Arabidopsis thaliana: one gene and its partners. The protein of the gene in region 3 interacts with the protein of the main gene of each other region in a pairwise test. Each region holds a gene or a part of one and is shown on either strand. Other genes may lie near its edges. The genes, in order: PAB3, AT3G12170, AT4G01090 and AT2G21830.

What was found.
Region 1: the proteins of AT4G01090 (region 3) and PAB3 interact in a two-hybrid assay, tested with the Arabidopsis thaliana proteins (one large-scale study listed by BioGRID).
Region 2: the proteins of AT4G01090 (region 3) and AT3G12170 interact in a two-hybrid assay, tested with the Arabidopsis thaliana proteins (one large-scale study listed by BioGRID).
Region 4: the proteins of AT4G01090 (region 3) and AT2G21830 interact in a two-hybrid assay, tested with the Arabidopsis thaliana proteins (one large-scale study listed by BioGRID).

Annotation. Positions count from the first base shown.
Region 1 is NC_003070.9:8,053,421-8,059,715, reverse strand, and holds PAB3 (poly(A) binding protein 3), read right to left. Parts: upstream 4,392-6,295; 5' UTR 4,118-4,391; coding exon 3,814-4,117; intron 3,300-3,813; coding exon 2,518-3,299; intron 2,426-2,517; coding exon 2,348-2,425; intron 2,262-2,347; coding exon 2,172-2,261; intron 2,081-2,171; coding exon 1,784-2,080; intron 1,713-1,783; coding exon 1,497-1,712; intron 1,133-1,496; coding exon 917-1,132; 3' UTR 656-916; downstream 1-655. UniProt on the Arabidopsis thaliana protein: Binds the poly(A) tail of mRNA. Appears to be an important mediator of the multiple roles of the poly(A) tail in mRNA biogenesis, stability and translation. In the cytoplasm, affects both translation and mRNA decay.
Region 2 is NC_003074.8:3,878,799-3,883,625, forward strand, and holds AT3G12170 (Chaperone DnaJ-domain superfamily protein), read left to right. Parts: upstream 1-2,109; 5' UTR 2,110-2,114; coding exon 2,115-2,264; intron 2,265-2,574; coding exon 2,575-2,673; intron 2,674-2,774; coding exon 2,775-2,876; intron 2,877-2,957; coding exon 2,958-3,017; intron 3,018-3,102; coding exon 3,103-3,209; intron 3,210-3,295; coding exon 3,296-3,378; intron 3,379-3,469; coding exon 3,470-3,560; intron 3,561-3,652; coding exon 3,653-3,857; 3' UTR 3,858-4,050; downstream 4,051-4,827. Other genes in the region: RABA4D (RAB GTPase homolog A4D), read right to left, coding at 697-1,138, 1,413-1,639; AT3G12180 (Cornichon family protein), read left to right, coding at 4,666-4,740.
Region 3 is NC_003075.7:469,550-475,870, forward strand, and holds AT4G01090 (hypothetical protein (DUF3133)), read right to left. Parts: upstream 4,331-6,321; 5' UTR 3,852-4,330; intron 3,739-3,851; 5' UTR 3,700-3,738; coding exon 1,898-3,699; intron 1,811-1,897; coding exon 1,750-1,810; intron 1,657-1,749; coding exon 1,433-1,656; intron 1,343-1,432; coding exon 1,285-1,342; 3' UTR 957-1,284; downstream 1-956.
Region 4 is NC_003071.7:9,301,656-9,306,962, reverse strand, and holds AT2G21830 (Cysteine/Histidine-rich C1 domain family protein), read right to left. Parts: upstream 3,251-5,307; 5' UTR 3,143-3,250; coding exon 2,090-3,142; intron 2,013-2,089; coding exon 1,914-2,012; intron 1,821-1,913; coding exon 1,263-1,820; 3' UTR 938-1,262; downstream 1-937. Other genes in the region: AT2G21820 (seed maturation protein), read left to right, coding at 3,744-3,980; AT2G21810 (Cysteine/Histidine-rich C1 domain family protein), read right to left, coding at 4,323-4,709; EME1A (essential meiotic endonuclease 1A), read right to left, coding at 5,218-5,307.

The DNA of each region.
Region 1 (6,295 bases), on a different chromosome or scaffold from region 3:
TTGTCAAGTATTCATATATTTCTAAATTTCAAAGTAAGAGAAAAAAGAAAGTGGATGGAACAATCTAGAACCGAACACAATGAATGGAAATATGAGCAAGTTATAATTTAAATATGTAAAAGGAGAGTGAAGTCAACAAATGATGAGGCAAAGGGTCGGCTCTTGTAGCTCCAATGAGAAGGGTCAGACACATTTTGGACGGTGACATGTATCAACCCCACTCACTCTCTTCTTTATTCACTCATTTTTTTTGTTAGTCTTCTTGTGTGCTAATGTATGGTCAATTTGAAATTAGCACTGATGTTGACTTTTTAAAATATTTTCATATGAACGAGCTGGTTCATGTACCATGCCAACATATGTTTTTCAAATAAATTAATCGAATTAGATTCTTGTTGTGACTGAGAGTATTTTCGATCAACATAAACCATTCAAATTAACGTCATATCAAACACTATTATGAAATGAGTGGTACAATCATTGAATCGCTTGCTTCCAACCCCTCAAAAAGAAAAAGTCTGTGTGCATATAATTGATATCAACTACAAGTTGAAATACAAACCACAAATTATGAGTAGACACATTCGAATAAATTCATAATAGAAGGCTGCTACCATAATAGAAGGATTGTCCCTTGTTGCTGACCATGAATACCGAACAACTTAAATTTCAAGTAGAGATGGATTATTTGGGGATTCGGAAGAAGAAGTCTACTCAGATTATTAAGAAATCATCATTGTCCAAAGAAAAAGAAAAACACCATAAACTAAGTTAAAGACACAAAAACCATAAACTAAGTAAACAAAAAAAAACTGCTAAAATAGTAAAGGAAGACTAAAACCCAAAAAAGAAAAGAAAAGGAGTCGATATCAAAACTAAAAGAAGAAAACAGAGTTGAGCAAACGCATTGCAAATTTCAGTCGGTGGTAGAGAAACCAAGATCATGATCAGTTGGATCAACAGATAGCCTGAGAACATCCAAAGCCTCGGATACTTTAGACTTGAGTGCCTCTGGTGACTCCATCAGGTGCAAGATCTCAGCTTGATCCATCTCCAACAACATTCCTGTGACTTTAGCCACGTGAAGTGGTTCGTGCCTTTCCACAAGTGGGTACAGTTGTTCTCCAAGCATCTGTTCCCAACCAATTTTTTAAAAATAAAAATCAGTAAACATATAAATATATAGATATGCCAATCTCTATCAACTATATATTTATGTGACTTTAACTTTTATTTATTTGTTATAAGACCATAATTCTTTCAAACATTTGATGTTAAGAAACAAAATTCACCAAAACATTTTTCAGTTATTCAGGAAATATTTTGTAAGATAAAATGCAAATGTGACTGACCTCTCTTTGCGTTTGGTTTTGCATCAACAATTGAAAACATATGTTTAGAGTTAAGGGTTTATTATTCAAAAGTTATACACCAAATGCAAAAGAAAACGCAAAACAAAGAAATGTTTAGCTGAGATGGAAGGAAAAGAGGCAAACCCGAGTGCGATCAGCTGGACTAGCAGAAGCTAAGGAAGAAGTGAGCTTAGAGATTGGAAGGAGAGGAGCTTTCTGGTGAGAGATCGAAGAAGCATCTATTGGCAAAGGAATGATAGGAGGTAAGATTCCTTGAGGAACACTCGAATCCATTCCGTTCCTCCCGTTACTCGCACCGTTCATATATCTCATTCCCGGGGACGGGTTACGGTGCATAAGCTGTCAATATTCAATCCAACTCAGTTTCATGATTGTTGAAAACTATAAACAGACTCAGTTTAGTAACATACTTGTTGTTGTTGGATGTGTTGTTGCACGTTAGTAGCACCACGCCTGAATCCCATACGAGGACCGGTCTGAGGTTGTCTTTGAAGCGGATAAGGCACGATGAAGTTGCCCGGGCCAGAACCTGGACGCATCCCGGGCATGAACTGAGGCTGGAATCCATATCCAATGGGCTGGGACGGGACCATACTTGCTCCGTTTTGGCCTACGTACATGTGTTGAGGTGGACCGGGCATTGGTCCACCTGGCGGGTGATGGAACCCTGACATTGGCCCTGGTGCTCTAATCTGTGAAAACAACGCCTGAAAAAATTGCAAACTTATGTACTTAGTCACACATATAGCTTTAACAAACCCATTTCTTTTAAATATGTTAAAAGAGTTTTTAAAAAACCTGTAAGTGTGCTCGTCTATCTTCTTTGCGCTGCGCAAGAGCTATGTATAGAGGTTTTCTTCCGATCATCTTCCCATTCATTTCACTCAGCTGCATTGTCTCATATGTAACAATCTCTCAGATATCAAAAGAGACGAACAATAAAAGAAGAATATATTATAGTTTTAGTAACTCACGGCTCTTAAAGCTTCTTCAGGATTGGAATAAGCAACAAAACCAAATCCTCTGCTCATTCCTTGTGGATTAAGCATAACCTACATTAGTTAAAGGATTGTGTCAAAGACAACGTAACATCAACAACATATATATTTATGAATATATGTATGAGTTTTTAATTAATTATTACCTTGGAGGATGTCACATTTCCATACTCAGAGAACATCTCCTTGAGTTTCTCATCATCAACACTATCATCAAGATTCTTCAAATACAGGTTCGCTCCTTGAGATTTCTCAAACCGGTTTATCCTCTCTTGCTCAAACTTCCTTCTTAGCTCTTCCTCTCTCTCAGACTTCTTTTGCGCCCTCCCAACGTACAACACATCATCCCCTAAGCTAATTCCATTCATCTTCTCAACCGCCGAAGCCGCTGCTTCAGTGCACTCAAAATTCACAAACCCGAAACACCTCGAGTTTCCGCTCTGGTCCCTCATTACAACTGCGCTCGATATCACTCCAAATTTACCAAACGTTTTTCGTAGCTCGTCCTCACCAATCTCCTTGGGGAGATTCTTGACGTACACGTTAGTGAAACGCGGTGTAGGGGTGTTTTCATCACGAGCACGCTCTTGACGTCTGATGAAGTGTCCCACAAAAACTTGCTTGTCGTTCATTAACATTCCGTTTAGCTTGTCAATTGCGGCTTGAGCCGATTCCTCCTTCTCGAACTGGACAAATCCATACCCCTTGGACCGGCCAGTCACGTCCATTGCAACTTTGCATGAGAGGATGGTTCCAAAACTTGAAAACGTCTCGAACAAGGCCTTGTTGTCGATTGAAGCGTCAAGGTTTTTGATGAAAATGTTTCCTTTGCCGCTCAATCGCGTGCTTGGGTCACGGTTCGAAAGCATGATCCGAATGGGCCTATCAAAGAGGGGAGTGTAGTTCAAGGCCTCCATTGCACGGTAAGCTGCAAACATAAATCAACATATAAACATAGGCAAATAAGATCTCAATTCATTATAGAAAACCAGCATCTATGATATTTATAAATGCACAAATACCTATAGTTTCTACAATTAATGAGATTGAAAGAACAATTTCAAACAAATTTCACGTATTAAATTGAACTAATTAAGAAAAATCATAATATAAGAGACTGATGCATCAACTACTAAAATAAATGTTGTAGCTTTGATATTCAAACGAAACATATCAATGTAGCAGAATCATGGTATAGTAGAGATGAACTACAATATAGAATATTGATTATATGTTAATTTCTAGACAAAAAAAAAGATGATTCGCACAGGAACATGATACTGATCAAAATTAATTACCATGTCTAATAAAAAATTGAGATTGAAAAAAATCAAATCAAAACACTTTTTCTTATTGTAATGCAATTCATGATAATATATATATTTTGTTTTGCAAGACATGAACCCTAACTTGCAATTGAAGCGATATAGAATTGTATTTACCATCGTTAGGGTTACTGAAATTGATGTAGGCATATCCCAAAGATCGACGATTCTGATCGCGGCAAACTCTTACCGAGACGACATTAGCAACATGTTTGAACAAATCAAATAGATGTGCTTCAGTAACTTTCGGGTCCAGATCACCGGCATAGAGCGACGAGTTCGGGTGGGTTTGATCGGCTACCACGACCGGGGATGGAAGAGGTATTGAAACCGGAACCTGAACCGAAGTCTGCGCCGTCGGACTGGGAACTTGATCAACCATTGTCGCCGGTGCAACACCTGTGGCAACCGCCGCCGCCATGATTATGAGTTTACTTTTTACAAGACGATTTGTTATTTTCGTCTCGTGAAAGGAAACAAAATCACTGATTCTAAAAAAACAAAGATTCGATGATTTGTTTCTGTAAGGGTTTTAAGTGAGAAAGAGATTTTCTGTAAACAACATGACTCGAGGATTTGTTTCTTCACAATTTTTGATTTATTTATTTTTTAGGAATTTTATTCTTATTTAGATTTTTTTTTTTCCTTTTTTAGTTTCCTCCGATTATCAAGAAGAGTAAAGAGGGATAAAATTGAATTAGTGTGATGAGTGTGGATGCATATTTATACATAACTAGCTAAGCCTATAAAACCGAGCAATTAACAATTTAGTATAAATAAAATGTCACTTGATTTTACTATTAATAGCTAATTGAATATTTCATGAATCTTTGATAATAAGAATTGGTCGCAGTTTTAAATTATGTTTGCCTTTATTTCTTTTTTTATTACATGAGGTTTTATTTTAGTTACACTTATCGAGCATGTGCTAATTTTGTTTTCTATATCGAAAGCAACATTAAATTTATTTATTCATAAAAAAATGCATGCTTCTAAGGCTTATAAGCACACAAATCTAATTAATTTCTAATAATATAACTAATGAGGTCTTAAGAGCTAAAATTTAATAAATTGATTTAACATTTACTTTGGATAAAAATTGTGATTTTTTATTTATGTTTTTGATTAGAGTAAAGACGAACAACTAATTTTTCAGAGCAAAATTTGCGGCTATTGATTTGGTCATTACTAAGATATCAATCTTATTACTATAAATAGACACATGAAACTATTTTTAGATTCTTTTGACCAGATATTAGATTATGAATTTATGATAAATAAATTGGTAATTTTTTAGTTAGTTGAAATTAAATCAGTTGTATTGTTGATGATGTAAATAGGTTTAGTAATGCTACGAAGTAACTTATTAAAAATCATGGATAATGGAATCTTTTATTTATTTCAATAGACTACAAACCCCTTTAAATATCATACACATATATTGATACACATATATAGATTCAAGTTTTTTATTAGGGATAAAATTGAATTAGTGTGAAGAGTGTGGATTAATATTTATACTTAACTAGCTAAGCCTATAAATCCGAACAATTAACAATTTAGTATAGGGAAAGTGTCACTTGATTTTTACTATTAATAGCTAATTGGTGTTTCATAAATCTTTGATAATAAGAATTGGTCGCAGTTTTGAATTATGTTTGCCTTTATCGCTTCTGTTTTTTACATAAGATTTTATTTTAGTTACACATATCAAGAATTTGCTAATTTCATTTTCTATACCGAAATCAATACTAAATTTATTTATTCATAAAAAATGCATGCTTCTAAGGCTTTTAGGCACACAAATCTAATTATTTTCTAATAGTGTAACCACTGAAGTCTTAGGAGGTAAAATTTAATAAATTTATTTAACATTTACTTAGAATAGAAATTGTAATTGTTTTTTTTTTTTTATGTTTTTGATTGGAGTAAAAGATGAACAGCTAATTTTTGGGAGCATAACTTGCGGCTATTGATTTGGTCATGACTAAGATATCAATTTTATTACTGTAAACAGAAACATGAAACTATTTTTATGAAACTATTTTTAGATTCTTTTGACCAGAATTTGGATTATGATAAATGGATTGATGATTTTTAGTTAATTTACCCATGCCAATTATACTATAGTATCCTCAACTATGCCGGTCAACACTGGTCTTCAACGGAGTAAATTTATTAGTGTACCGGAATTGCATGTCTGTGGTGTTAACTACATGACGTCGTATAGTTCAGATATGTGGTCATACAATACATCTACTTCGTATAGCTAGGGATACACTAATATGCTTGACATGTGTGATCATGCATTCTCCGATATTTTGTGTAGCTAGTTATTTTTCTTCTACTATAAATAGAGATATTAAACTATTTTGGATTCTTTGACCGGATCACATGGATTACAATAAACCATTTTGAAATCTTTAAATAGTTGACTAAAAGAAAATTTACTATAGGGATATTGTTAAGATGTTCTCTATTTTCAATTGTATATAAGTTGTGAAATGTAATCTTTTTAATTAAAATATAAAAATGATGATGATTGGTATGTTGAATGATGGAGTAACAAAATATTACAGTAGTGTGTAAAACACATCCG
Region 2 (4,827 bases), on a different chromosome or scaffold from region 3:
CAAAGGTGAATCCTTTGTTCGAGATCGATGGAGAAATCTAAGAAGAATAAGAAGATAGGTAAGAGGGTATGGGAGAAGCGTGAAGAAAATTGGGAAACCGGAGCAAAACGATTGAAACGGTGGGCTGATGATGATATTATGTGATGCCACGCTGGCATTTCGTGGGGTCCATTTTTTGGGTTTGGTCTTTTTGTAGAGAATCGTTATCCATACATTTGACATTGACAGAATTTGAAGCCCATTGGTCTGAATTATAGTTGGAATCGGCTGAAAAGAAAAAGAAAAAAAAGTTGGAATATGTATTTTCCTGATAATGAAGGTTGGAATATGATGGGACCACTATTTATTTGGTTGTCCTGTAAATAAGTAATGAATACTCTACACATAAAAAAAAGTGTATGTTCATATTTTTTTGATTGATAATAATACACATATCAGCAGAATTATCATCTTTTTCTTGTGAAATCAACACAAGACACACGATCTCATAAAAGGTTATTTTTTTCTATAAAATGTGATGTAAAAAATGGGGGCTTCTTGTTTCACCCTCATACTCTTTCTCTAGTAAACCTTGGCATATTGTTTCGTTTCAAGAACAAATGGCCTAACACGAATAACAAAATATATAAAGCGGGACAAAGAAAAAACAACAAGAACAACCAAAAAATACAATCTTTCTCTCTTTCGCTAGTAGAATTACGATTTGCCGCAACATCCACCTCTTTTCCCACTCTCTTGCTCGCTCGGGATGATGATTCTAGTTCCTTTCAAGAGACTTGAATTACCATCGGCGTCATCATCATCAGCCGTTAGTGATTTCTTGCTGATTATTCGGTAGATCTCTGTTAAGATGGTCAAAAATGCTGTTTCAACATTGGTAGCTTCTAGAGCAGAGGTTTCCATGAAAAACAAGTTTTCTCTTTGTGCAAACTCTTGTGCGTCTTCTGTTGGCACTGCTCTTAGGCTTCCAAGATCACATTTGTTCCCAATTAGCATAATCACTATGTTCTTGTCCGCATGTCCTCGTAACTCTTCCAGCCATTTAGCCATGTGATCGAATGATTGACGTTTGGTCATGTCGTAGACCAACATTGCCCCAACTGCTCCACGGTAGTATGCACTTGTCACCGCCCTATATCTGCCAAAGAAACACTTTGATAAACGTAAGAGCCTTAAACAAAGTGATGATCAAACATCACATATTCATGTTGCCCATTTGCCCATCAAAGATCCCAACCCATTGTTCATACATATCTACTTATATTGGAACATGTGTTGCCTAATTCAATGGCATCTCTAGCTGCTAAGACATAAATCAATCAAATGGATGAATTGTGAACGTTCTCTGATATATACCAAATGATATTCATGGTGTCATTACTTCTAATGAATGAAGAAGAAAAAAGCAAAACCTTTCTTGGCCAGCAGTATCCCAAATCTGAGCTTTGACGGTTTTGTTATCAATGACGAGCGTTTTAGTCTGGAATTCAACACCAATGGTGGCTTTAGAATCGACGCTAAACTCATTCCTAGCGAACCGAGCAAGAAGCTGAGTTTTGCCAACGGCAGAATCACCGATCAACACGACTTTGAAGACGTAATCGATCTTTTGGTTATAATCTCCATACAAATTAGACATCTCTCTTCTTCTTCTTATTATTATTATTTAAAAACACAACAACAAAGGAGAATGAATATACACAAATCTCCAGATCACGAATACGAAAGGCGAAGAGTCTCGGATTCGTATTGCACGCGTGAAACAGTCGAATCTACCATCAGACGAACACAGAAACTCAGATCACAATGAATGGTGGTTAGGCAGAGAAAGCGAAAAATTATTCAGAGATTGAGAGAAAGAGAGGATTAACGGCCGATGCGGGACCCTTTACTCTAGGAATTATTCTACTGTGCCATAGATCACCCTTAACCCAATTCATCCTGGCCGTTTACTTTATTCGTACCTTATTCACCGTTCAATTTCCTAATGGCACGGTACGTAAACATAACCGGCGCAATTTGAACGAATTAATTCAAAATCGATATCATACCAAATCAAGTTCGGTTTAACTACTATACCAGATTAGGTTATAACCTTGTTAAAATAGGCGGCAATGGAAATTTATTGGCGCCATAAATTTTCTGAGAAGCAAAATTTTAACTCCATTACTTATCTCTGGTGTGTACTTTCTCGGCGAAGGAGTTACACGAGAACGTTGAAAATGGAGAATGATGGAAGATCCAATGAGAAAAATCTGTACGAGGTATCTCAACATTCTCTTTATCCGATGGTTCCAATTAGGGTTTCCGTTTCTGGATTTGGGACTTGTTCCAGTTATGCTTCGAAATTTAAGATTGTTTTGTCGATTTTCATGTGCTGATTCGTCTGATGATGTTTTTGTGATAATCTGAATATCATTGTTTATTGTTGGGATTGTAAGAGGCTAAGAGACTTTACTTGGTTAAGATCCATGGTTTGATCAATTTGTACCGTAGCTGTTGCAATTCTTAGTTGTTTTCTTGGTGGTTAGTAGAATTCAGTGAAACGAACTAATGAATGCGTCTTTGTTGAAGGTTCTTGGTGTTGAAGCAACAGCATCTCCACAAGAGATAAGGAAAGCGTATCATAAGTTAGCATTGAGGCTTCATCCTGATAAAAACAAGGATGATGAGGTTTAACTGAGGGGTTTTGGTTTCTTTACTTTTCTTAGTTTTTAGGGGTCTATTCAATTTTACATTGTAACCGGAATTCTTGTTTTTCTTATCCAATACAGGATGCTAAAGAGAAATTTCAGCAGTTGCAAAAGGTTATTTCGATTCTCGGTGATGAAGAGAAAAGAGCAGTCTATGATCAAACTGGCTCAGTTGATGATGCTGTAAGTTGAAAGAAAGTTTTCAACTTAAGTAAAGGTACTGGAGGATTTTCTTACAAACTGGTTATTTCCCTATCTCATTAGGATCTTTCGGGAGATGTGGTTGACAACTTGAGGGACTTCTTCAAGGCAATGTACAAGAAGGTAAGAATCATGATTCACAATTGATTTCTTTTTGGACTTTGCAACACAACTGTTTCGTTCTGTATACTGATCATTTGTGCTATAGGTCACCGAGGAAGATATTGAAGAGTTTGAGGCCAACTATAGGGGTTCTGAATCCGAGAAGAATGATTTGATTGAGCTATATAACAAGTTTAAGGGTAAAATGAGCAGGTAATTAATCATCCCCTTGTTTTCATTATTGTCAAGTTTGTGAGTTGAAGTTTGTATAAACATTATTGGTACTATATCTCTTTCAGGCTTTTCTGCTCAATGCTTTGCTCGAACCCCAAGCTTGATTCGCACCGTTTCAAAGATATTATCGATGAGGCCATTGCAGCGGGTAGGCTTCTCTTTCTTGCAATAATTCTTTTGTCTATAAAACCTATCCAGGTTCTGATTTGTTTGTGCATACCATTGTTTAACATCTGCAGGAGAAGTGAAATCAACAAAAGCTTACAAGAAATGGGCAAAGGAGATTGCAGAAATGGAACCTCCCACGAATCCCCAGAAGATGAGACGGAAGTAAGCTTCTATTTGTCTACCTTTTCCACCCCAATAAATGCCCTCTGAAGTTATCTTTGTTGTGACCTGTTTCAAAATTTCTATACTTTCAGAGCAGCAAAGGCTGCAGATAAAGATTTATACGCTGTAATGTCCCAGCGGGGAGATGAGAGGAAAGAGAAGTTCGATTCAATGTTCTCTTCACTTGTCTCTAGGTATGGTAGCAATGCTGACTCTGAGCCAAACGAAGAAGAGTTCGAAGCTGCTCAGAGAAAAGTTGAAAGCCGGAGATCATCGAAGAAGTCTAGAAAAAAATAAAGATTATGTAGTAGTTTGTGAAATTTAGGTTTCGTGTTTGTAATGGAGACCAATGTTTTTAGCGTAAATTAGATCACATTTGTTGCTTCTTAGAAGTTGAAGACTAATGTGTATTTGCTAGGAAACAATGTGTATTTTTACTTTTTGTCTTTTTTCCAACAACAAAAAAAGCAGTGAGTTTACCAGTTCAAAAGCTCAGGGTCCCACGTGTATGTCGTCTGGATCTTCAGAAGAAGAGAAATTCTATCACCGGGTCCTAGGACTTCTCCACCTGCAAAAACAATCAGGTCGAGTAATGCATCATAATCAGTTGATAACTAAACAAGCCTTTGTTACAATGTAACATATAAACGTACGGTATCAACCAAGTTTCTCGGGAAGAGGAGAGTGGACGGATCCTTTGGCTTGTATAGGCCTAAATAAAGAACTAACAAATTTCAAGTGAACTTATTTAAAAGAACCAAATAATTATTCTAAAAGAGAAGAAAAAAATGAAATTATTTACTTATATGGCTTGTATAGGCCTAAATGGCATACAGTTAATAAATTTTGTTAGTTCTTTATTAATTAACACCAAGCATCTTTTTTTTTTGTTGAAAAAGAAAAAGGAATTTAACAAAAAGGATATTCACAAAAAGAAACTAGAGAAGTAATAATAAAAAGGAAAGAAGAATCTAATGTCCAATAGAACCCCAAAGTAAAGTACACCAATTGTTGAGAGAAGAAGAGTTCTTTTTTTTTCAAAGGTATTTAAGGAGAAGAGTCGCAGTCGCAAAAAGACGAATCGTAATTGTTGAAGAGAGCAAATATGGCTTGGGATTTGTTTTTATGGATAGTCTCCTTCTTCGTTAGCTTGGCTCTCGTCGCTTCCGTCTTCTACCAGGTAATCTATCTACTTTGTTTGTCCCCTTTTACTTTCCATTAAGATTCTTAAATCGAGATCTGTCCTTACTGTTCAAATCCTGATTGT
Region 3 (6,321 bases):
CCACAGCCTTTCGTTACAACAATATCAACCTTTCTCTTGAATCTTGGAACTTAGCAAACACGGAAGCACCACACTTTTTGATGATATATTGGGTTATTCAAAACATTGCTATGTTTGTGAATTCATGAGACTTATTAGTTATTAGAATGATGCAGGTAACTAGTTTAAATATTTGGTATAAGTTTAACAATGGTAGAATTGGTTTTTAACATTTGCGTGAATGAACTAACACTAGTGTTAGTATATAAAGAGATATGAAACATTCTAGTGACTCCAATTATTGCTAATAATATTTTATTTTATTTCTTCATTGCTAAAATTTTTTTGTATTGAGAATTTCTTGATTCCTCACAATTTTATTATTAGTGGACAACTTCTGCTTACTCGTTTTTCTCATGCTCGCTACTAGTTAGTATCTTTTTGTTCTTACTCTAATTTTGTATTTTTCTAAGAAATATTGAAACATGAAAACTAAACGAACGGACCACGAGGCCTGTTAAGAACAGATTCTCTTTCTTGTTTGATATTGATATTGATATTGGGCCCATGAGTAAGTTATAATCTGTTGTCTTGTATTTTAGGAAGGACCCACTTCAGAAACGTGCAAAAACTAGTCCATCAGCCAAGAGAGGAATTAGCAGACAATATGAACATTTTAGTGGAAAGAAAGATGAAACCGGATAACTAACCGATAGATAGATAATCCCAATCCATAATTCACCTAGAACTCGAGGAAAGGGCAAATCAAGCCTAGAAGCTAATCATGAAGAAAGAAAGATCAGCTAGGAGAACATTGTTTAATTGAATTGTTGAGTATGGTCGAATGACCTACATATATTGTTGCTGACATGAAAGAAACCTACAAACCAAAACCGGTTTAAATAAACGATTTAGTTAAACCAGAGATAATAAGGAATTAGGAGGAGTAAACCATGTTATCGATGAAGCTTCTGTTACAACTTACAAAAGAGCAATAAAAGAGATAAAAAAAAAAGTCATTAAGAGCAAACTAATATCATTCCATAAAAAAATGGAAATAATACAAAGCACAAACCTTGTACCGAGAGAACCCGGTTTGTATACAGTCTATAACCCCTAAACCGGTTCTGGTCGCAATAAAAAACATACAGACATTTCCCCAAAGATATTTTAAAAAGAATACCAAAAATCAAAATCAAGATGTAAAAAACACTTTACAGTTGTGTTTAACAAATAAATAATATGAAGATGGAAACAAGAAGCAGAATCATATTTTGGTTGTGTAGTTGTTACTAGGGGGAGTTTTCATGAAGCTAATGATCTTGGAACTCTCATACCAAATCCATGCTTCACTTTCTCAATCCTGTTTCAAGTTTAACACACTAAAACTTTAGAATCTTAGGTGATCTCAAAATCTCAAAAGAATAAAAATCATTTGTGTGAATCTGCTTACGTTGGGGCTAATTTGCCAAGGCTGTGAAGTTCTTCTCCTGAATCTTGATCAAGGATTCTTCCTGATATATCAACAATGTAAGAACGGTTCTTGTCTCTAGGCAGACCACGACCCACAAGTAACTCGAAATCTCTCTTGTGAAGCTCTCTTCCATTCACAAACACGTCTGTGTTTCCTGCAGCGCAGTTATCCAGCATTGGATGGCTAAACTCTTCAATAAATGGCTGCAACAACAACAAGTAAGTCAACCATTTCTTCATCAATTTGATGACACCATTCCAATAATCAACTTGAGAGAACAATGTGAAGGTACTTACAGGTATTATACCGAGACACGGTTTGCCCATCACTCCCCAGAACCCAGCTCGGTAATCATACCTGAATCAGAGACATGTATCAGAAACTGAGTAAAGGGAAAAACAAAAACAAGAGAGAAACAGTGGATGCTGAAGTTCATGGAAGTACCAATACTTTCCAGCTTGGATTGGTCCAGCTAATTTCTCAGCACTGCTAACAAGATCTTCTGGTATAAGATGTCCATTAACCCAAACCTCTAATGACTTCATCTGGTCTTCGTTTTGATCAGTAGAGGACCTCGTTGTGATCTCTGTCGAACCGTACTCACTACCCTTTCTGTTTGAGTACCTTGAATCTTCTGAGATCTCGGTGTTAGAGTATCCATTGTAAGAAACCTCTGTCTCTGTAGCTACTGATTCTGGTTTCAGCGAGTCCTGTGTCATGAAAGACTTTTGCTTATCTGGCTTTTCATAACCTAACTGCGCCATTCCATAAGCGAGTGCAGCTCTGTTTACATTAGAATACTCAAAAAGTTCAAGGAGACTGGCATTATCAGGAGCAGCGGGTTCAGGTGCTTTTGACCCTTTACCTCGCCGACGAACAGATTTGACCTCCTTCTGTTGTTGTTCACTAGAATTGCTCGATCTTTCTTCATCATCTGAGTGTTGAGATTCAGAGCGGACGCTTTGCGTAGTAATAGTATCCTGATGATTTCTCAGTTCTTGCACTGGTTCTTCTTCATCCTTACGTGGAATATCTCTACCTGAGCTGTTGAAATCAACAGAAGAGACTTCCTCCTCTATCACTACTGTGTTTGTTGTGTTTCTATCTTCAACCTCTAGAGAGACCGGTTTTGTTTCCTCATTACCAGAAGAGAAAACGAGTTTCCTATCAACGATTGTGAAACTAATAACTTCAGAACAAGCACCGCACTGCAGCTTATGTAACCTTTCCTGAGACAAAAGCTTCTTCTTAGGCAAGTAAAGCAGCTCAAAGCAACTATGACAAGCTATAAAAGGAGCACCACCAGCAAGAGGATGACAACGTCGAACACCAGTATCCGATACAGCTTTCTTAACATACCCACGAGCAAAAGCACCGCCCATTTCAGAATCATGTTCACTCGGCCACCTTGCATAACCACCTCGAGGACCTGGAGTGCCCATCGAAGAAGGAAAACTCGAACCGTTATTAACACGTGGACTATACGGTGTCGTGAGTTTCTCGCCACGATGGTGAGACGAAACCGGGCTATACGGAGGCATATCACTGTACTGTGTAGCGAGTTTCTCTTCACGATGGTGAGACGAAACCGGGCTATACGGAGGCAGGTCACCGTACCTACCAGGAGTAGCTGGATAGTAAGAATGTGGCTCAACTATATCAGGACCAAGTTCAACATATTGACCTCCAGGATACTGACGAGCCATCTGATTAGGGTAATGACCAGGAGGATACCAGTTTGGATTAGGAACTGGAGGTGGTCTTCTTTGGTACCCATAAGGATCTTGATAAGCTTGAGGATACATTCCATGAACCGGTCCAGGGTATTGAATAGGTTCTGGATACTGATGGTAATAAGAAGGACCAGGATTATGATTAGCATGACCATGAAGATGAACTGGTCTAAGGAAAGGCTGATTCTGATCTGGTTCTTTAGGTTTATCAACTACATTATTACCACCACCACCACCGCGAAGTAGATGATCTTTGATAGAATCTAACCTTCTTAAAAGCTCAGCTCGTTCATGCTCTGTATACTCAATAGGGTTGTTGCTGCTGCTTGTGTTCTTAGATGAAGAATCTGATCCGTAATTAGGCTCGTCATTTCTCAAGCTTTTTCCAGATCTTTGAGACCCAGCTCGCGAATTTGAGTGTTTCTCCTTCAGACTCGTTTCTTCTTCGCTTCTTGAAGAACCAGCATCTGATCTCGTACCTTCTGCTTCAGAGACATCGCCTCGCGACCTCATCAGCCACTATTTCTAGGGTTTTGCTTTGTTTTTTTCCAACTGCGATTCAAATCAAAAAAGTTTCGATTTTTTATCAAATTCGAACTCAAAAACATATATCTCCGATTGAATTCAGATAAAACGAAGAACCAACAGGTAGAAATCAAACGAACCGTGAAGAATGTCGTCGGCGATATAGGTGAGAAGACGAATTTGATGATCTTCTCCGGTGGGAATAAATGAACCAATCTCTATGATGCAACCAATTTTCTAAAAAGGGGTTTTTGGAAAGAAAATTCAGAAGAATTAAAAGTCTTCTTCAATTGCTTCTTGGGGGATTAAATGTCTGCTTACTTACTACCAAACTTGAGCTGGAAGGTTTAAGCAACAATTAACATTATTATGTTAATTTTCTTCTAGCGTTTTTCCTTGGCTTTCCCGGGAATCTTAAGGGAAAGACAAAAGAAAATTTGATGAATAGATTTGAAAACTTAAGGAGGGGAAGAAGATGGAAGCAAAAAATCAAACTTTGTTAGCGTTGATTTGATATTCGTTTTTTAAAACTTTTGAGTAAAGAAGAGATGAGCGCGTATGTAATGTAAGTAAGCGCGTGAAACTAGAATTTAGACTGTAGTACGGTTGAGCGGACCGGGTCTCGTTGACTCGCAGATAAGGAGACTAACCAAATTATTACTAAAATATACGAAATCTAGAAACATGAGTGTGACTGTTTACCGACAGGTAAATTAATACGTTCTCAGATATCGCAATTTTCCAAATTTGTGAACTTAATTACTAAGAACAATTCAATTACTCGGGAAAAAAACATTCAAATTTAGAACTTACGATTACTAGTAGTATTTGATTTTTCAATATATGCCAATAAGCAGCAATAGTTATTTTCTAAAACTAAGACGACTTCCTATTTTCGTACTTTTGTGAGTGTGTTTGTACGAAAACAGACCAGCTAGTCAAATGAAATTATACATTGAGCAACCTTTTTTATATCAATAATACTAGGTCTGGTCATTCGGGTATCCCTATCTGTTTGGTTCTTTTTTGGATATCAAATCTATTCGGATATGAAGAGGTTGAGAACCATTCAGATATTCTAAAAACTTGGTTCGATTTTGGTTCGGATTCGGATCGGTTCGGTTGTTTTAGTAAAAATATAAAAATAACCAAAAATATCAATAATATTTTCAGATATTATTATAATAACCAAAAATACCCAAATATTATTATAATACAATTAAAAAGTAAATAAAAATAGGAAAATATCACTTTATATGCTCAGAAGACTGAAAAATTAGGTGTAGGAATTGTGGACTATTTCAACAGTAAAAGAACTAATGAAGTTACTTTATTATTCTTCTGTATTTTTCTTTTTTTTAATTAAAGTCTCATATATTGTTTTGTTACTAAATATTTTCATTGTTATCATCAGGTTAACCTCGTTAACAATTATTAGTAAATATTATGTATAAATTATCCGTTACAGTAAACATTATTCATGTATCGAATATCTTAACGTTTTCATATAAATATTATTCTGTTATATAATATATTAGCATGTTATCATTCTATATATCATGTAGTTATAATTATTATCATGTTAATTATATAAAAAAGTCTAATTTCCTTTTATTGTGCTGAATATACATAAATAAAAAATTCTGATTTACAATTTTAAATCGATAAATATGTTTTAACAAATAATTTATAAACTTATCGCGATATCATAGTTTTTAAAACATTAAACAAATAATTATATACTTATCATCCGAATATTACAATTATTTTTATTCAATAGCATTTTTGTAATTAATTTTTTTAAAAAAAATTTTTTGGTTTATATATTATTTATCTTTCATACTTACCTAAATAACTAATATTTATATATAAATTCTTTATTTTTTCATCATCCTCCCAGCATATCGATTAATATAGTCCATAAAAATACGTCAAGTTTAATGCTTCCATGTTAGAAGACGTGCTCTCAAAACTTCTTCTTTTGTTTGTTTTCTAATTCACAACTTGAATCTAAAAGAAACCTGGATCCTAAACGTTGAAAAATATTAACCTCGTAAACGAAGACTTGAAAGATATATGGGGAGTGTTATATGATCACATAGTGTAGGTCGCCTTCTGACTATTTTTGTGGTTTATACAAAAAGCTACGTACAGCTGTAAAGTCTTCTACTCTGTGTCTCTGTCTATCATTTAAAGATGGATTTATAGATAGTCCACTTTCCAACACCAATCAGATTTGACAAAAATATTAACATTGCATTTTTGGGATAACTATCGTTGACTTTTTTACTACCTATTTTATCGGTTAGTTATTAGACTAAGGAAACACAGAGTTTAATTGACAGAACTTCTGAGCTGTTTAGGCCCGTAATTCTTTCCCTAATTGATAAAAGGGCCCTATTTGTTTAGGTGCATAACAGGCTTCATTATATGGGCTTAGAACGGCCCGATTTGTTTACATGAAGACTTTTACATTTTAATAATTTGAACTTGATCATGTAAGTGAGTATGAGTAATGAGCTGGTGAACTTTTTTTATGTGTGATCTACATAATTATCACATAGAATAATAGCCATAAGGCTTTCGGTATTTGATTCTTATCAACTGTGG
Region 4 (5,307 bases), on a different chromosome or scaffold from region 3:
TGTTTTTCGCATAATCAAGCTTTTGTGTTCGGAAAACCATAGATATAGTGTGAAGCTTAAGCTTCTATCTGGAATTTCCGACAAAACGTCAGGAACGTGATTTTACTTTGAGTCTTCTCCATATTGAATGAACAGGCTTTGAGGAATTATATTGTAAGTGTGAATACAGTGGGAGATGCTTGCTTGAGAACAAGCTGCAGTTGCCTGACGTTTTGTACTACAGATAAAGAATCATTCTCTCTTTTTGTACTACAGAAACGTAGAATTGCCTCGAATTGGATGCAAGGATTCCTGAGAAGCCTTAATTTGCCTCCCATGACGAGTTTTCGAGGGAAGGAGCTTTGTCATGAAACAGCGGAAGACTTGTTTGTTAGTTGGTTGGAAATATTCCTGAAACTTTCCGTTTCATTGCATCAGACTGCGCAATAAAGAATCTGCACACCTCATGTGAATGTAAAAACCGCATTCTAGACAACCAAACGGGACACTTTCAATCTTGTCCCTACACGCACCACAAAATGTTCGACCACCACTTCATATGTAATCAAGGCCTCTAAGAGGGTGTTTCGGATGCACGCGATGTTGACTCTCTGTTGGAAGATCAATGCAACGCTCGTGGAGAAACAAGTAACAGGAAACACAACCGTAGCATGTATAAGAGGGAGACAAAGGGAGCTCACAAAGCAGGCAAGAGCCTCTAGCGTCTTGTCCTGGTCTACACCTTCGAAGCAAATGTTCATGACTGTACTGAAGCATTTCTCTAACAACTTGTGATAATGTTCTTCAGTAGGCACAACCAAGATCAAGATAGACCTCACGTTCGTAAAATGAGCAAGAATACATATTCCCACAACCAGAGCAGACAATATATTGGTGACCTATGACTAGTATAGTATGGGTGATAAAATTGCATAGGCGACAGAAGAGATTGAACCCTTCTATATCATTCATGCAAATGTTACAATTCATAACAACTCCTGCACCTGCAGGGGCCGCTGGCTTTTCCAATGGAAACACTGAACTTTGTGTATTATGTCACCAAGATTACATAAGAAAAACACCATTGGAACTGGAAAAACGATAATGGAATCCAAAACAGAGGATTGAAAATACATAGTGTGCCAAAAACAAAGAAAACAGAACAAGAAATAAACAGAGCAAATAAACATATTACAAACATGATTTACTAACCGACAAAATTTTAGAGGTATATAACATAACAAGAAGTTGCAGAACTTAGTTTCAGAGGAGGAACAACCTAACTACGAAGAATCACGGTCTTTGATACGATGTCGGTCAATACACCGAAGATGATAAATCGTTTCACACTCCATACATGACACAGCCTTCCCAAGCACCCTCTCATGACAAATAATACAAACTTTTTGATATGACCTCGGGAACATAACTTGGACCATTCTATGCTTGCCTCCCAAACAACGTCCTCTCCAAGTTCCAACGACTTTCGGTCCTGTCATCCCAAGAAAACGTTTACCTTTCATGGCGCAACTGACGTGGATAATAAAATTGCATATTCGACAAAATAGATTGAACCCTTTTATATCCTCTCTGCAGCTTTTACAACTCGTCATATCCGTAGCAACTGGTTTTGGCATGAGTGTCAAAAGATGGTTCCAATGAAACCGATGTCTTGATGGTTTCCCTAGCTCCACACAGAAGTTATGTGTCACAAAGTTGCAAGTCTCGCATTTCCATGGATTACCAAGTATTTCTTTTTCACATATGTGACAATGTTCTTTGCCTTCAAGCTCACACATATCAATCGATGTCACCACATGATTATGGTTGATATCATGAACCTGCAACATATACCTTACACGTTTGAGACAAAAGGCTGGCTTAAAATGATGTTCATACTTTTCTTCCACTGATAGATAATTATAAAGCCATACCATAACTTTGTTGGTTTCATAGTCTTCTTGGTTTGTTGCTCTTTTGACGTCTTCAACACAAGAATACAGATCCTTCAAGTACAATGGTGATGGCTCTTTCTGTAGTTTGTAGATATAGATCATCAGCATTGCATCATTATTAAGAAACAAAAAAACACAAAAACGATATTGATTACCTCGCGTAGAATGCATTCAATGTGACCAAGAAAATCACATTCTTCGCACGAATAAACATGATGTCCGGCATGAATCAATGTCTCGCAAACGCCACAGTACTCCAAAGAATCATCCTCTTCACGTACTCTTTTACAAACAAGTGGATGAATGTGACAAGATCTCTTAGAAATGGTCTTGGAAATCCCAAGGCATTCGAAATGAAACTCCAATTCACATTCGATGCAGTGGTAGTAAGAATCGAGAGAGCTCACTACAGCTCCCAAGCATATTTGGCAACAATTGTTTCTTCCAAAATGTTCTTTAGCATTCGAAGATACATAAAACAATTTATGCTCATGAGATTCATGCATCAGACAGCGCAAAAACGAATCTGCACACCTCATGTGAATGTAAAAACCACATTCTAGGCAGCCAAAGGGGACACTGTCAATCTTCTCTCTACACGCACCGCAAAATGTTCGACCACCACTTCGTATGTAATCAAGGCGTCTGAGAGGGTGTTCCAGATGCACGGGATGTCGAATCTCTGTCGGAAGATCGAGACAGCGCTCGTGGAGAAACGAGTAACAGTAAACACAACCGTAACATATAGAAGAGGGAGAAAGAGGGAGCTCACAAAGCAGGCAAGAGCCTCTAGCATCTTGTCCTGGTTTACACCTTCGAAGCAAATGTTCATGACTGTAATGAAGCATTTCTCTAACGTCCCAACCAGTGAAAACGTTCTTCAGTAGTGCACAACCGAGATCAAGATAGATCTCACATTCTTTACATTCATAGAATGAGCAAGAAGACATGTTCCCACAACAAGAGCAGACAATGTAACCAGGTTTTCGATCATATTGGAATAGAGAAAACTCAAGAGGATGATCTGAGTGAAAACCATGTGACACCTTTTGCGGCAGCTTGGAGCAAGTCTTACATATATCAAAATTGCAAGGCTTACATGCGTATTCAACAACTTGGTCTTGGAAGCAAATGTTGCAGATGCCTTCAGCTACAATCTCCGGCGAGGTCAAAGGGCATGAGTGGGAGAAATGCTCGAGTTTTCCCATGGGGAAGAAGCAAGATTGGAATCTTGATCTAAGAGTACCATTAGATAACACAGTAATCTTGATCAAAGAACCTTCATGATTCAAAATCCCAAAAGCATAACTAATTGTGAGGTCGACAGAGAGAGAGAGAGTAATAAATTAGTGGCTCAATAATTGTTTCTCAACGTGGTGTGGTTGGAAAATTTAATATTTTTTATTTCGTTTACTGACCATGCTTAATTGGATTCTATTGAGCCCATTTTTTTTTTTTTGGTATCATTATGGTAATTGAAGTAATAATGATACTTAAAATTGTTATTGAATATGAAACTTAAAAATTGATGAAGAGTCTTCTCAGTGTGAAGTACCTTTCACTAGACAGTTCTTTATTCATAAGCATGTTCGATAACATATCAAGAAGCATAAATCCAACAGATGATAAGGGTCAAAGACGACTTCTTTTGGCTAACTTACGACACGTGACCAACAAGATAGGTCTAGACTTCTGAAGAACTGCCACGTCTTGGCAAGGTGGCAGGTTTTAAGACCATGGCTTGAGGGCATAAATAAGTTTTGTGGACAAAAGGGGAAAATGAGTTAAGAAGGATCGGTATCATCAACGATGTCGGGAGCACAAGGAGCAGAGCCGATGGATTCAAGAACGGCGACAACGTACGAGTCAGTGGAAGGAGGACAGAACAAGACGAAGCTTGATATAAGGTCAAAGGAAGACGAAGGTGGGATTCAAGTTGACAAGCTTCAAGACAAGGTCTCTGATGCTGCTGGTCTTGGCGGACCTGTCTTTGGTGCTGGTAAAGACGACAAGAAGCAGGATCTTGGTGTTACCGGTACCGGCTAGGTCTCTGTAAAATATGTTCAGATACGGTCCTGTCATAGTCATGTAATATTAAAAACATGTTTTGAGTAGAAAACTAATCAATAAAAGTCTTTTATGAGAAAACAATGAAACCTAACATTCAGACTCTTTATTATGAACCAAATCAAACTGTGTCCTCTTAAAAAACCAATAGGATCTGTGTATGAAAAAACAGAGAAGCAAGATCAAATAGGACCTTCACAAAACCAACCAAGAGTAAAACACCTAAACTTATAACAACACAAGGAAATAACATGTGTTGAATCCTGAGACAGAACCAGTATGGTAGCTCTCAATACACAGGATGATATATCTCTTCACACGTCATACATGACACAGCTTTCCCAAACAAAAACTCCAAGTTCCAGTGAATTTCTGCCTTAAAGCTTCAAGAACATGTTTACTTTTCAAGGCACAGTTGATGTGGATAACAAAAGTACATATACGGCAGAAGAGATTGAAATCGTATATATTCTCTCTGCAAATGTCACATTTCATCTTTTCCTGTGAAGGATACTTTGTCAACAGTGTCAAAGGATGGTTCTGATGAAATCGATGTCTTGATGGTCGCCCCAACTCCACACAGTACTGATGTGTCTCGAAGCGGCAGGTCTCACATTTCCATGGGTTACCAAGTATGTTTCCTCCACATATCTTGCAATATGGATATTTATCAAGAGCACTCATGAGGACTGGTTTCATAACATGCATATGCCATATATCATTAACCTACCTGAAGCAATTAGCCAAAACGAGAAAAAGTGTTTTTAGTTTTCATGAGCGTGATTGATTATGTAAAAGTCATACTGTAGTTTGTTTTCCAAGTTGTTGGTTCCAGAGGTTTCTTGATCTATTGATCTCATGGTAACTTTGCTAGAAGAATACAAAACTTTCAAGTACAACGGCGAAGGCTTTTCCTGTTGATTATGAGTATGAGTAGCTTTTCATCATCAATAAGAAAAGAAAAGAAGAAAACAGAATTGTAATGAAAAGAAGAAAACAGAATTGCAACTCTACAAGTCAAGCACTCAAAACCACTTGCCAGAAAATATATCATTATCTTTACTCTTTAGAAAACGAGTCAGGACTACACACATTAAAGACTTCAAACAACATAATGAACTTTGCATGCATATACAAAAAAAAATCTCAGACACAATCATTCTTCTGTTTTGTTTGACATAGAAAGTTAAGAACCTATTTGATGTTCTCTCTAGTTCTAAATTAAGTCAGATGGAGGAAGTGTGAAGGAAGCAGCACCATTTTCGACGTCATCAGTCTTAATGGTTCCATCTAAAGACATAAGCAC